Drosophila melanogaster: one gene and its partner. The protein of the gene in region 2 purifies or fractionates together with the protein of the main gene of each other region. This does not show direct contact. Each region holds a gene or a part of one and is shown on either strand. Other genes may lie near its edges.

Region 1 (4,054 bases), on a different chromosome or scaffold from region 2:
AGCTGTACATCATGCCATGCGAATACAACTACCGTCCAGATCACTGCATGTACATGAGCATTTGCAATATGTCTCAAACTGGCGTTAAGGTTATCCACGGAAATCGTGGTTATTTCCATTCAGACAGGCAGCCACTCTTTAAGAGTATCTACGGGGCTATGGAAAACTACCAACTGGGCTCCAACGCCAACACCGAATTCCTAATGCCCTTGCATGCAGCACTCAGTATACCATCCATCAAGAACTCAAGCTGTGGAAAAATATCAAATGAAGTCTTAAAAGTGGCGAACGCAGTCGTAACTAAAAGGTACAGGGAAGTCTAGCAGTACAGTAATTGTAAAATAATGCACTAGGTTATTATTAGAAAGTGTAGGATTAGCACTTATATCCCGATATACATTAGTCATAGTTTTTATAGAACTACGTTTTTTATATACGCAATAAAAATGTATATATGAAAGCTGTGCTTCAGCTAATCCAGATTAATATCTCAATAGTTTAAATGAAACAATTATATTTATTTTCGATGGATTGGTGGAGTAACAAAGACACTTTGCATTAAAACGGACTAAGCTAGGCAATAAATAAGGTCGTGCATTTGCACACAACATTGACTATGAACACAGGCAGGTATTTTCTAAATTAGACTTAATCCACGGTATGAATTTGCTCACTCTGGAGTAAACACCCGGATATCCTTCGCGGCCGCAACCAACGCCCCAGGACACAATGCCGACGATGAAATACTTAACGCCATTGGATAGCAACAGCGGTCCTCCACTGTCGCCCTGGCATGAGTCCATGGAAGGCCTACCCGCACACAACATGGATGAGGTAATTCGAGTACTTTTGTATCTTTGATTTCGGCATTCCGTGATGGACATGATTGGCACCTGCAATTGTCGTAGATGGTCATAATATACTCAAGAAACCAAATAGCATTACTCACCTTAACTTGATTAACTATGGATGGTAGTTCTCCTCCCTCGGATGTCCGTCCCCAGCCGACAACCGTTCCAATGCGACCTAAATCCAATTTCATATTAATATATACATATTTATTGCTAGGAATGCTAGAAATATTTACCTGCGGGGTCGTAATTATAGCGCGGTAGGCAGATTGGCTTTATAATTTTAGAAAACGATATAGGCTTGCGAAGTCGCAACAGGGCAATGTCGTTGTTGTATGTATCGGGGTCAAAGCTCTTGTGCTTTATCACAGCCGTAACCGCACGTTGGATGGCCTGTGACTCCGAGGTGATCTCTTGATCGTGGTCGCCGAATATGACTCTGATTTTGGATTTTCGCAGTTTCTTCACGCAGTGAGCGGCCGATAGAACGTAATCCTTCGTCAGTAAGGATCCTCCGCAATGGAACTTGCCGTCGTACACGATTCGTGCCATCCAAGGATATTGATTAACACCCGTGGGCTTTCCCCCAACAATCCGGATTTCTTCGTTCGAAAAGCCACAATCTGCACGAGTGAAATTTATCACATTAATTTAAATATCAGCAACAAACAACACATGCACATACCACAGTCACAGTTTTTTAGGCTGGAATTTTCGGTATACTCGACCTCGTCTTCGGTATCCGAAAGTCCAAAGGCATTCGATACTCCCGAACTTATGCGAAAAATTGTGTCAAATAGAAATTTACTGGTTCGTTTATTGTGGCCCGTGTGAATTGTGTTAATAGCGTCCGACTCATTGAAACCTTTGGAATATTCCAAGCTTAAGACACTTGAATAGTTCGCCGTCAACATCCAAAAAAAGATTATATACTTTAGGCTCATGTTCACGAATTAGATATCATTGTAACAAATGGGGGGATATGTTTGTGTTTATGGGAAACTTGATCACATCAAACAAACAACGTAACGAGTTCAAAACATTCTTAAACACAACAAAACATTTGCACAACTAATACGTAATACTCAACACAACATTAACAAGGTTTCTGTAGATACGGCTTAAGAATAAATAAGAGTCTGTAACTAATTAATGTAACATAAAATATGTACTAAGTCTGATAGTAATGTAGCGTACGGATCGCTTAGCGCTAATACAAAATGTGAGAGTTAGTCGCAGTGTGGCCACGTACCACTTTCTACCTGTTGACCACTTTCATGGTCAAGATGTGTCAGCTGTTCCACCAGTTTTTTTCACTTTCAGTTTATAAAAATCTACGAAATTATATTTTCAAAATTTTCTAACACGCTTTTTTTTTTGAATTTTTTTGGCTTTGGAAAGACTTTTGAATGGAATAATGCGTTAATTAAAAGACGTTTGTTGTTTTATAACAGTAACATTTTAATACCATATTTATTCTCTAGCTATGCAGATTTTTCGTTCTCCAGTCGAACAAATCATCCACACTGCAATCTTCTTCGCTTGAACTCAATTCCGGATCGACCTCCATCTTGGGGTCTACTCTTCGCTTTTTACTAAGGAGTACTTTTTTCTGATCGTTAATTTTAATAAATCTCTTCCAGTTGTCGATCTGCTCGTCGATCTCCTTGATGTGTCGCTTGAGATTGATGTCCTCCTGCTCGTCGGCCACAATTTCACTGGATTCCGTGTCCGCCCGCTTGATCTCCTGCTGGAATCGCTGCCATTCCTCGTCCTGAAGGCGAGCGGCCTCCGATTTATTGGTCTTATCCTCGTCGAAGAACTTTTCTGGCAGTTTCTCGACAGTAGTTTCATTCTCAGGCTTGCTGCTCGCATTTCCCTGGGCAGTTTTCTCTTGAATGAGGGGAGGATGCTTTTCCTGGCTGCTCTGTGGAGTTTTATCTGGCAGTGTGCTGGAGTTTTTGGCAGGAGCTGAAGTCTTGGTGGACGGACCCGTAGGATCCTTGGGTGCAGTAGTGGTGACGGGTTTCTCCACCTTATTCTGCTTAGCCTGATCGACGTTCAGTTTGTGCTGCTTGGAATTTATATGCACCTTCCAGACGTTGGGTTTGATAGGAATCCTGCAAATAATGCAGGTCAAGATGCCCGAGGAGTCATACGTATAGTTAAGTTCAGTTAAGGAAACCAACTAGCTGGATATTTATTCGAAATTAAAAGTTATATTAGAAAACAACATGTTTTAGTAAACACCGGCTAGAAAGTGTAAACAACAATAGAATTTCAGTGGGTTTTTTGCTTTTGTAAAGGATATTTTGCCAATGGTGAATCCACAGTGACTGCTGGCTTTTTCGAAACGCTGAGTTTCTTTTGAAGGCGTTTTATATTCCCATTATTCATGTTGATTTTCAATATTCTTAGGTTTTTCAGCGGCTTCTGTCAATCATAGGAATTAAACTAGAGATGAGCGCAACGGCGATTATTTTGAACAAGACACAGAACAAATGGAATGGAGAGTTTGCTTATTTTTTTATGCTATGCAAATAAATGGAACAAAAAGTTATTCCAAAAAATTGTTTAGATGTATTTTAAATTATTTTGGAATACAACGAAAACGAGGCAAGTACAAATTTAAAAGCATTCAAAGTTACGTTGCCCTGGTCTTGTTATCGATTGCACTATCGATAGCGTATCTAAAACCGAGTTGGCAGTCTACCCGGCAATTTTTTTAGACTACGTGTCTAAGCGAAGAATGTGTCGTTGCATTTCAGATCGGTTATAATTTTCGAGTTACTGGCTGGAATTGGGACATGAATCGGACGCCGAAGATGCTGAACAGCAAGGTGGCTGGCTACAGCAGCCTAATCACCTTCGCCATCCTGCTAATCGCCTGGCTGGCCGGATTTTCCTCTCGCCTCTTCGCCGTCATCCGTTTCGAGTCGATTATCCATGAGTTTGATCCGTGGTTCAACTACCGGGCCACCGCCTACATGGTGCAGAATGGTTGGTACAACTTCCTCAACTGGTTCGACGAGCGCGCATGGTATCCGCTCGGCAGGATTGTGGGCGGTACCGTCTATCCCGGCCTGATGATTACGTCCGGCGGAATCCATTGGCTGCTGCACGTACTCAACATACCGGTCCATATTCGTGACATCTGCGTGTTCCTGGCGCCGATCTTCAGTGGCCTGACCTCCATCTCCACC
Region 2 (9,191 bases):
TCCCGGGACTAACTCTGACCAACTTCATCTCGCCGGACCTTATCAACTGCACGCTGACCATTCTTGAGGGAAATGTTCGGTACCGGAACGAGCGGGATCCGGAGGCCTATTTCCTGACAGCCGGCAAGAGCATCGGTCTGGAGAGCAACATCACCCACTTGGTCACCACCATTGGCCAGAAGCCAGCTTCGTATCTGTTCACATACACCAACAAAACGATGCTGGAGCAGGGCATCACGATAGAACAGCCTGATACCGAGGAGCGGTCTGTCCTGCCGCTGTGGCAGGAGTTCCAGCATCGGGTTACCAACTACCAGCAGTTTTTGGGCCACATTGGCAACTGCCTAATGTACTTGCTCTACGATGTGCCCATTCCGCAGGCCGTAAAGGGGGGAGATTGAAGGAGAAGGCTAACCATCGGCACTATTTCGGTTTTAGCCGTATCTAGATTCGATATTAAATCTGGTTAAGCAAATTCAAAACCTATATTGCCTATAAATCAGAGGATAACAATTTATATTGAAGAAATGAAGGTCCGATTTGAAGGATATACACAAATCCTCTTGGTTTTGTCTATATATCAATGAAATGCATTTAATAATATCACATTATTTTGCATTTACATAACGATACGCTCAAATCAATTAAATCTCGAAACAAAACCTTGGAAACCAGAGCGATATAACCGAATGTATGGGTGATAAAACTGATAATAAATGTTCCATATTGTACCACATCCCGTTCAATTTCTCTTATCGCATATCTACAGCTGTATTTACAAACGTCACAATGATACTTTAAGCCTATGAATAGCGAATCTCCGGTCCAGGAGGATTCTACGGTGAATTTAGTGGCTAGGGATTGCCAAACGAAGGGGATGGTTATAACATTATAACAAACACATAAATAGGCTAGGAGCCTCGTCTACGCCACGCCCCGCGTCTTCTTCGCTGCCACCTCCTCATTGATCTCCCGGCTCGGGTCGAACTGCTGCGTCTGCGTCTCCCAGAGGCGGGCATACAGTCCATTCTGCCTCAGCAGCTCCGAATGGGTGCCACGTTCACCTACACGTCCGTTCTCGAGCACCAGAATCTCGTCCGCATCCTTGACTGTCGAGAGACGGTGGGCAATGCAAATGCTAGTGCGTCCTGAGGTAGCGCGGGTCAGAGCCTGCAGAATGTTCTACAAAGGGAAGAAGTCCGATTCCGTCAGTTTATAGAAGTTCACTTAGTCGCTTTCAACACTCACATGCTCGGTGATCGAGTCCAGACTGCTTGTAGCCTCGTCAAAGATCAGAATGGGGGTGTTCTTCAGTATGGCCCTAGCGATGGCAACGCGCTGCTTCTCGCCACCGGATAACTTTAATCCACGTTCGCCTACCTGAGTGGAGTACTGTCCTGGCCAGCTCATGATGGAGTCATGCAAATCAGCCATGCGGGCAGCATTCTGCACTTCTGCGTGGGACTTGGACAGGTTGCCATAGTGGATATTGTGCTCGATGGTGTTGTGGAATAGCACCGAATCCTGCGGCACCACTGCAATAACCTTGCGCAGGCTCTCCAAATCCACGGCGCTGATATCCTGGCCACCGATCAACACTTTACCAGAGTTTGGCTCAAAGAAGCGGAAGAGAAGGCGCACCATCGACGATTTTCCTGAGCCAGAGCCGCCCACAATGGCGACGTTTTTACCGGCGGGTATGGTGAAACTGAGGTCCCGGAAAATGGGCTTGCCAGGTTCGTACTCGAAGCTCACGTTGCGGAACTCAATGGATGAGTTAGTGGTGTCCACGAACAGGGGCTGGGCATTGGCGGCTGTCTGAATGCTACTGTCCACGTTCATCAACGTGAACATGGCCCGCATGTCCAGCAAAGCCTGTCGCACCTCACGATAAACACTGCCCAGAAAACCGAGGGGGATCGAGAGCTGGAAGAGCAGGGCGTTGACCATCACCAAATCTCCAACCGTCATGTTGCCTTGGGCAATCTCCTTGGCGGCCAATACCATAATCAGACTCAGTGCGCTGCTGAAAATGGCGTTCTGGCCAAAGTTGAGCAGAGCGAGACTGGAGCTAGTCTTCAAGCTGGCCGCCTCATACTTCTTCAGCACCTCGTTGTAGCAACCCGCCTCGTACTTTTCGTTGTTGAAGTACTTCACCGTCTCGTAGTTGATCAGCGAGTCTACGGCCTTGTTGCCGGCCTCGTTCTCCGCCTGGTTCATAAATACACGGAACTGGGTGCGCCACTGGGTCACACTCAGAGTGTAGGCAGCGTATATGCCAACGCAGCCCATGCTGACACCAGCGAAGGCCAGGCCACACTTCACTCCCAGGATACTGGACACGAGGGCCAGCTCAAAGATAGTGGGCACAATGTTGAAGACCATGGCGGAGAGCACAAAGTTAATGCCCCTCGATCCTCGATCGATGGTCTTTGACAGTGCTCCAGTTTGTTTGTTCAGGTGGAAGGCCAGATCCAGGTTGTGCAGATGCAGGAACACATTGCTGGCGATCTTTCGGATCGAGTGGTGGGCCACCTTGGCAAACACTGCATTCCGCAACTCATTAAAGCCCGCCGCACTGGCTCTAGCAATGCCATCTGCGTGAATTAGACAGTTAAGATCTTTTATGATAGGGAACTCAGGCTAAGAAACCTACATCCCAACATCAGTGCGGTGGCTGCGGAGAGGACCGCATCCGGGGCAGTGTCCATGTTCAGCGTTGTCATCGTGTCCACAGCTCCTTTGAACAAGAAGGGGACACAGACGGTCAGCAGCTTGGAGCCAGCCAACAGACCCAGGGAAATACCCACCCTGTCAATTTGGAAAACAATAGATATTAAAGTATTCTCAGTCATAGTCAGATGAACTTACCGCTTTCGCACCAGTGGATCCTCCTTTGGCCAGATGTAGGCCATCATGGCACGCAGCATATCCTTGGAGGTGACCTCCGGCGCGTCTAGCTTGCCCAATCCCGAGCCACCATCGCTGCCGCCCCCTATATGAACATGACATAGTCGTGATTGCTGTTGTTGTGGGCGGTAAGGTCGCTGCCGCTGTAGCGTTGTTGTTTTTGCTGCTGCTGCTGCTGGGGCTCCACCTGCATTGAATTCACTTGGATGCAGCCAAATTCAGACAGGCGCTCAACACAACAAGCGCACAAACAAACAAAGAAACAAACGGACGCACGTACTCGGTCCACAAAACAAAATCAATTTTGGGTTGGTTAGTCAATAAAAAAAAAGCGTGAGAGGCTAGTACTAAATAAAAAGCCTGCGGATATCTGCAGGGGTGCTGTATTAATCAGGATACTCGAGCATTGGTTATTTACTGGGTAACTGATGCTGCCCCACGGCACCTACCTTTGGCCTTCTTGCCGAATACTCCACCCAGGAGCTTGCTACCCGGCGTGGGCGTAAACGGGGTAATCTTCTTCCGCTTGGCATCGCTGCTGTTCTTATCATCAACCTTAGTCAGCGAAGAGTACAGCTGAAAGGGGTCATTTACAAAATAAAGTTTACAGTTTTCTGTGATTTATTAAAAAAAATTTAAATGCCTCAAATAATATAAACTTAAGTAGTTTTTCTTTAACATCTATTACTATTCATTTCAATATTAAACGCCTTGTTTTAAATTCTAAGCTCAGCCTAGACAGCTTCTATGCAGCTAGATGCACCGATTGAAAGTCAACGAGGTAACGGATACACTCTTGGAGGTAAGACCGTGCCACTGCACCACTTTCTGTCAATTTAGGAAGCTTATCCAGCTCTCCTCCAAAGATCTCGTATTCCTTTATTTTATATTCTACGAGGTACGACAGCTCTGGCTGCACGTCCTGAAACTGCTCGGCGTCTCCAAAGGCAATCTGGTTGAGGATGTTGGGAAAGTAGGCCTGCTGCTTGAAGATCAGGTGCAGCACAACCCTTAGATTGTGAGAGCATCCATCGTCGATGTGCACGAACATTTGATCGTTCAGATTGTGCTCCCTGATGAATTTAAAGATGTTCCGGTGAAAGGTTTGCGTTGATAGCTCCTTGTTTTGCTTAATCATGTGCTCAATGTCCAGTAGGGAGACTTCAAAGTAATCGTGCTTATTTTCTCTTAGCCAAAAGCCATATTCCGTCAATAGCTTAAAGTTGGGCAAAGCACCGTAGCTGATGAACAATTGATCATATGGTTTGGTCTCGGAAAATGGCAGAGATTTCAATGTAAGAACGTAATCGGGACCCTCAATCCCTGCTGTGATTTCCACTTGATCTGAGTGGTTAAAAAGATCCAGAAACGGAGCCAATGCCAGGTTGGTGTCGCCACTGATAAGCGGCTGAAAGTAGTTGCTCTGCTTTTTCAGAAAGCGGGAACTGAGGTGGACGCTCCTAGTGTTCACGCTGAAGTAGGCCCACTTAAAGTCTGCGAGTGTCCAAATCTCCTGGCCGTAGCTCTTCCCACAGCAATCGCATTTGTGTACAATGTTCTTAATAATTTCAAAGTAACCTCTTATCTGACGGTTCTGGGCCACGGTCCGCTCTAGCAGGGATTCTGGCAGACACTGTAGCTCGGGTATGGAGCAGAAATACGGAGTGGAGTAGCACCTGGGCAGGGTGTCCAAATATGCAGCGTAAGTAGAGGAGTGAGTCCCTAGCGTACACTCCTGCAAGTGCTTGTGGTACAAAATATAACAGGCTATCAGTGCCTGAAAGGAAATTCTGGAGTCCTTGTCAAATAACTCTTCGTCGAAAAGACTTTTGAATGGCCCATCAGATTCCAGAGTCGCTATGCTTATGAGACAGCCAATGGGCAGGCGAATGAGCTCATCCTCCGGAGAAAAGGTCTTCTGTTTAGAGCATAGTCCTCGACCTGTCTGTTCGTAGTATTGGGCCGACAAGTGAGTGTGGTTCTGCCAGCCAACGGAGTGTAGATGAACGTAGAGGTCGTGCAGGGAGCCCGAATTCTCGTCAGACTTCTTGGCCCTCTGATGCCGGCGACGCTGCGTGCGACCCATTGTCCCCAATACCCGATCGATCCTCCAAGTCTGTGTGCGTGCGCGCTGTTTTGGTCTAACTCTATGCTTGCTGCAACGAAATAAGCCATAGCGTGGAGCATTAATTCAAGATTGATCGGATGGAAGTGGAGAAGGACCAAAACAACGCACACGCAGACTGTTTTCCCCGCCGATCGCCGGCTGTCCCCACTCAATCAAACCGCCAATTTATTGCGTATTTACGCGTAATTACGAAACCGTAATCTAGTCTAGATAGTCTGGCAGGTGGCCTTGAAATGGGTCTAGAGGCCGAGCACTCACCACTCTTGCCTGCACGTGTGTTCCCGGTCCCTTAGCGAGTGTGTAGCATTTCGCGCGTCCCAAGTGGGCGGGTAGGTGGATGCTGCACTGCTTGGTCAGGTGAAGGAGTCCGGCCATTACTCAATTGCCAGGCGAAAACAAAATAAAATCCCTCTTCTTTCGCACCGTCCCTGTGTTTTTGCTACGATATCAGCATTCGCATGGCAGCGTCAGCTGTTTGGAGTTGCCGTATCGCTGTGAATGGCAAGCCAAGTAGCAGTCGCCTGAACTAGTTCCATTTAAAATTTAAAAAAAAATCTTTTTTTAGGATTTTGGAATATGCATCAACTGTCAGAACATATGCAAGCAACAAATTCCAATATACTTCAATATATTTTTTTGTTAGAAACGTAGTGGGCTGTACACCATTAGGAAAGAAAGCATCGATAAGGTAGTTCCTTTTTGCTCATCTCCATAACATCTCCTCCCCCAACAAAGCGGGCATATCGAATTCTGGAATAGTCCACCGCTCGAAAATGTCGCTATTCGGTCTGATAGTCTCCGGACGCCTGCCCCAATCGGATTTTGTGGCCGTGGACGCCACCAAGTTGCTCGTGAATGTGCCCGACATAGAATCCGTCAACTACCTGGTAGTATTCCTCACCGGCGTATCACCCCTGCCCGTCGGCACCTCCGCTGCGATATATTTCAGCTGGCCGGACGCGAACGCAGCACCCACATGGCAGTATCTGGGTCACATAAACAACACCAAGCCCTCCGCCATCTTCAAAATCGCCCAGCTGAAGAAGAGTCACGAGCTGGAGGCCCAGGCTCACGGGATGGTCTTCGGCAGCCAGGAGATCTCACACATCGCACAGATTGGAGTTTCCCTCGAACCGGAGCTAACGGTGGCCCAACAGACGCCAGCCGTGGTAAGTTCTGAAGATCAGTAGTTGCCAACCGATTTGATTGGCGCAATAATTGCGATTCAAATCTAACCCCATTTCCAATTTTCAGTCCACTGCCAACGACAACAAGCAATTTGGTCAGCGAATGCTGGAGAACTTCTTCAACTACGCCTCCAGCTTCGGAGTGGCAGCCAGAGACATCCCGCCCATCTCGAGCGAGACCTTTGTGCCCTTCTCCGTCGTTCAAAATTGGTATACGAATTTCCAGCGTCGCATGGAACAGAATCCAAACTTTTGGAAGTACTGAGCAAAAGACAATGGAGGCGTCGCCTCCACAAGTTGTTGATATTACAAGTAAAGTTTTATATTTATATTCTTTCTGTAACTATTACCTATCTTTATTGGTGGACTTACAAAGGAGGATTCAAACTAGGGCTGTGGTTTTGTTGGGTCCAGTTCCGACTCCCCGGGAGTGCTTTGGGTTTCATTTCTACTGCCGTAATCTTTAGCAGGTCTGCGCTTTATGAATTCTGTATTGGAGGGCGCAGTCCGGAATGGTCCACGAGAAGTTGGCGTCGGAGCTGGAGCCGACCCTGATTTCTTTTTGCTTAAGGATTCTTGTCTTGTAGAAGGAGATATGCCGTCGTGAGAGGGTGAAGGTGACTTTCTAGACGGACTGCGGGAGGCCGATGCCCTGGGAACTACACTCGGTGCTGGAGCAGAGCCCGATCTCTTCCAAGCTGACGGTGATGCGCCATCATATGCAGAAGCATCTGGTTCCCTATTTCGAGCAGCTGAATCTTCATCAACCAGATTAGGAGCTGGAGCCGAGCCGGACCGCTGCTTTCCACCCCTTGGAGGTCTACTTGGCAGACTGATCAGTGGCTTACGGGGTGCTGGACCTGTAGGAGCTATAGACGCAGATGGAGACGAATCGGATCTCTTTTTTCCTCCAGATTCGCCCTTACCTGGTGGCGGCGACGAACCGCCCTTTGGTGGAGCGGCTGGTGGCTTAGTACTGGGTTTCGATTGCGCATCCGCCTTGGCCTTTGCCTGCTGCTTCTTGATCCGATCCTCGATTCGCTTCTTGTTCTCCGGCGTCAGCTCTCCGAAGATGCTTGTGATCAGGGCCTTGTACTCGTTGTAGTGCTGCACCTTGTTGCCCGTCGCTGGCGAGGCGCTGGGCGGTCGTCCGTGATAGGACACGCAGCGCCTGCGAGGAAGAAACAGAATGGGATTAGAATTGCTGAATGGACACCCAGTATTACCCCACGTCACCCAAATAGCGCCGTGCTCTGTGGTCTATTTAAACAATAGCATTGTCGGTGGGCGACGCGAGCTGATTTTTATTCGGTCTCTTTGCCTGTCGTTCTTTTTTTTTTTGTGGCCCGCAAAAAACCAATTTGGCAAGCTGACATATATATTTCGGCTATATAGCAGACCCTATCCGATGTGCATATACAAGAGCGCTCCTCGGTCTGCCCAGCATCCGAAACACGCGCGACCTCCCCTGACCAAACTTTGATTTCTATTGTTTTACAAGATCTATCAACATTGATATGCCCTGTAGTTAATTCATCCATGTGGTCCATGAGTCTACATAGGAATCATGTCCAGTTATTTCAGTTGGCTTAGATAAGTCGAGCAGATTAGTATTATCTACATTTTGCTGAGTGGAGGGAATTTTTTAATAAACGAATAGCACATATTTTAACACTGAGAAGATAATAAAATTATGTTTACGTTAGCTGAGAGAACATTATTATAAATTATAAATACTAAACACTTTCTTGAACAACAAATAGCTGGCTTGTTTTTATCTTATAGCACCAAGTGATTTGAACAGTTTTATTTTGGTGAATTGAAAACAACCACTATAAGTACCCATCTGCAGGGCATTGTTAATTCGATCCTTATGCTCACCTGACGCCGCACAACTCATGTGCAATTACATAGATTGCAGACTGATCAATGATCGGATGGTTGCCAGCGAGGCGCAGCCACTGGGAACGAATTGAGATAGACGGATCACGGTGCATCCGCCGACGGATTGCGCCAGTTTAGCTTGCAACGTGTTGAGTGATACATAGTCGATTGTGATCGGAGGAATAAGCCCGCTTTGGTCGCGTGTTGGCCACGACAATAGGTCAGCAGGATGATGACAAAGACACAGCAGGCGGATTGGCCGGCAGAATCGGGGGAAGCAGAGGAGCAGACATTGATGTCGCAGGCAGCAGCTAATAATAATATTCATAATTCGCAGTGGCTTGTTGATGGCATCGCAAATCAGGGAGCTGAGTCAGCCGTGTTTTGTTGGTCAAAGGCGGCGGCGCCGGAAGTGCTCGGAATGGCAGGGCAATTTCCGGTTGGCCAAGGAATCGCTTGGCAGAGCAGCTTTCCCATGAATCACGCGGGTGGAAGCAGGAACATGCAGGTCTGCCAGACATATTACCAAACAATGCAAACAGGAAAGTTTCCCTTGCATCTGAAATCAAGGAGCAACCAAGGATTTCCCTTGTTTTTCTTCAAGCACCAGAAAGAAGCAGAGAACCACACAATTTTAGATGAAACTCAACTATTCAGCCCACATCATGTATACGCACCGTGCACAGCAAGATTCCCCATACATCAAGTATACGCCCCGTGGCAGATGAACTTTCCCAGACTGCTGCAATTGCCCCGCAAGAATTCCGACGGCCATTTCCCAGAAATGAGCACCACCATGACCCGACGCGGACAGGTGGCCAGCTCACACGCTGAGCAGGCGTCCCAGGAATTTCCCATAATTAAAAAACGATTTGTTAGCTTTCCCAATTATCGAGCAATGTCTGAAGATGAGCCCGAATACCCACATCCACATCCACCCACCGCCGCCACAACAACAATGACGCAGCCGGGCCTCGACAAAGTCACCGAAATAGACAAAATAGACGAAATAGATGTAGGCGGAGGAGGAGCTGGTGTACATAAGGTGCCGCCGATGTTTGATAATGAACCCGAGGCCGAGG

What was found. Proteins that work in one complex are often made in the same cells at the same time.
Region 1: the proteins of ABCB7 (region 2) and CG11836 purify together in Drosophila melanogaster (affinity purification with mass spectrometry, with the first as the bait; one large-scale study listed by BioGRID). This does not show direct contact.

What each region holds. Positions count from the first base shown.
Region 1 is NT_033777.3:25,069,159-25,073,212, reverse strand, and holds CG11836 (uncharacterized protein), read right to left. Parts: upstream 2,088-4,054; 5' UTR 1,796-2,087; coding exon 1,537-1,795; intron 1,475-1,536; coding exon 1,088-1,474; intron 1,027-1,087; coding exon 950-1,026; intron 894-949; coding exon 615-893; 3' UTR 501-614; downstream 1-500. Other genes in the region: shams, read left to right, coding at 1-323; CG11839 (uncharacterized protein), read right to left, coding at 2,332-3,010, 3,163-3,248; Stt3B (catalytic subunit 3B of the oligosaccharyltransferase complex), read left to right, coding at 3,659-4,054.
Region 2 is NT_037436.4:1,614,723-1,623,913, reverse strand, and holds ABCB7 (ATP binding cassette subfamily B member 7), read right to left. Parts: upstream 5,501-9,191; 5' UTR 5,414-5,500; coding exon 5,297-5,413; intron 5,067-5,296; exon of another isoform or gene 4,997-5,066; coding exon of another isoform or gene 3,656-4,996; exon of another isoform or gene 3,517-3,655; intron 3,487-3,516; coding exon 3,360-3,486; intron 3,098-3,359; coding exon 2,872-3,097; intron 2,812-2,871; coding exon 2,657-2,811; intron 2,598-2,656; coding exon 1,249-2,597; intron 1,183-1,248; coding exon 925-1,182; 3' UTR 501-924; downstream 1-500. Other genes in the region: GC (gamma-glutamyl carboxylase), read left to right, coding at 1-401; CG33230 (uncharacterized protein), read right to left, coding at 3,656-4,996; CG13926 (uncharacterized protein), read left to right, coding at 5,812-6,207, 6,293-6,490; CG12105 (uncharacterized protein), read left to right, coding at 8,339-9,191; CG33791 (uncharacterized protein), read right to left, coding at 6,613-7,396.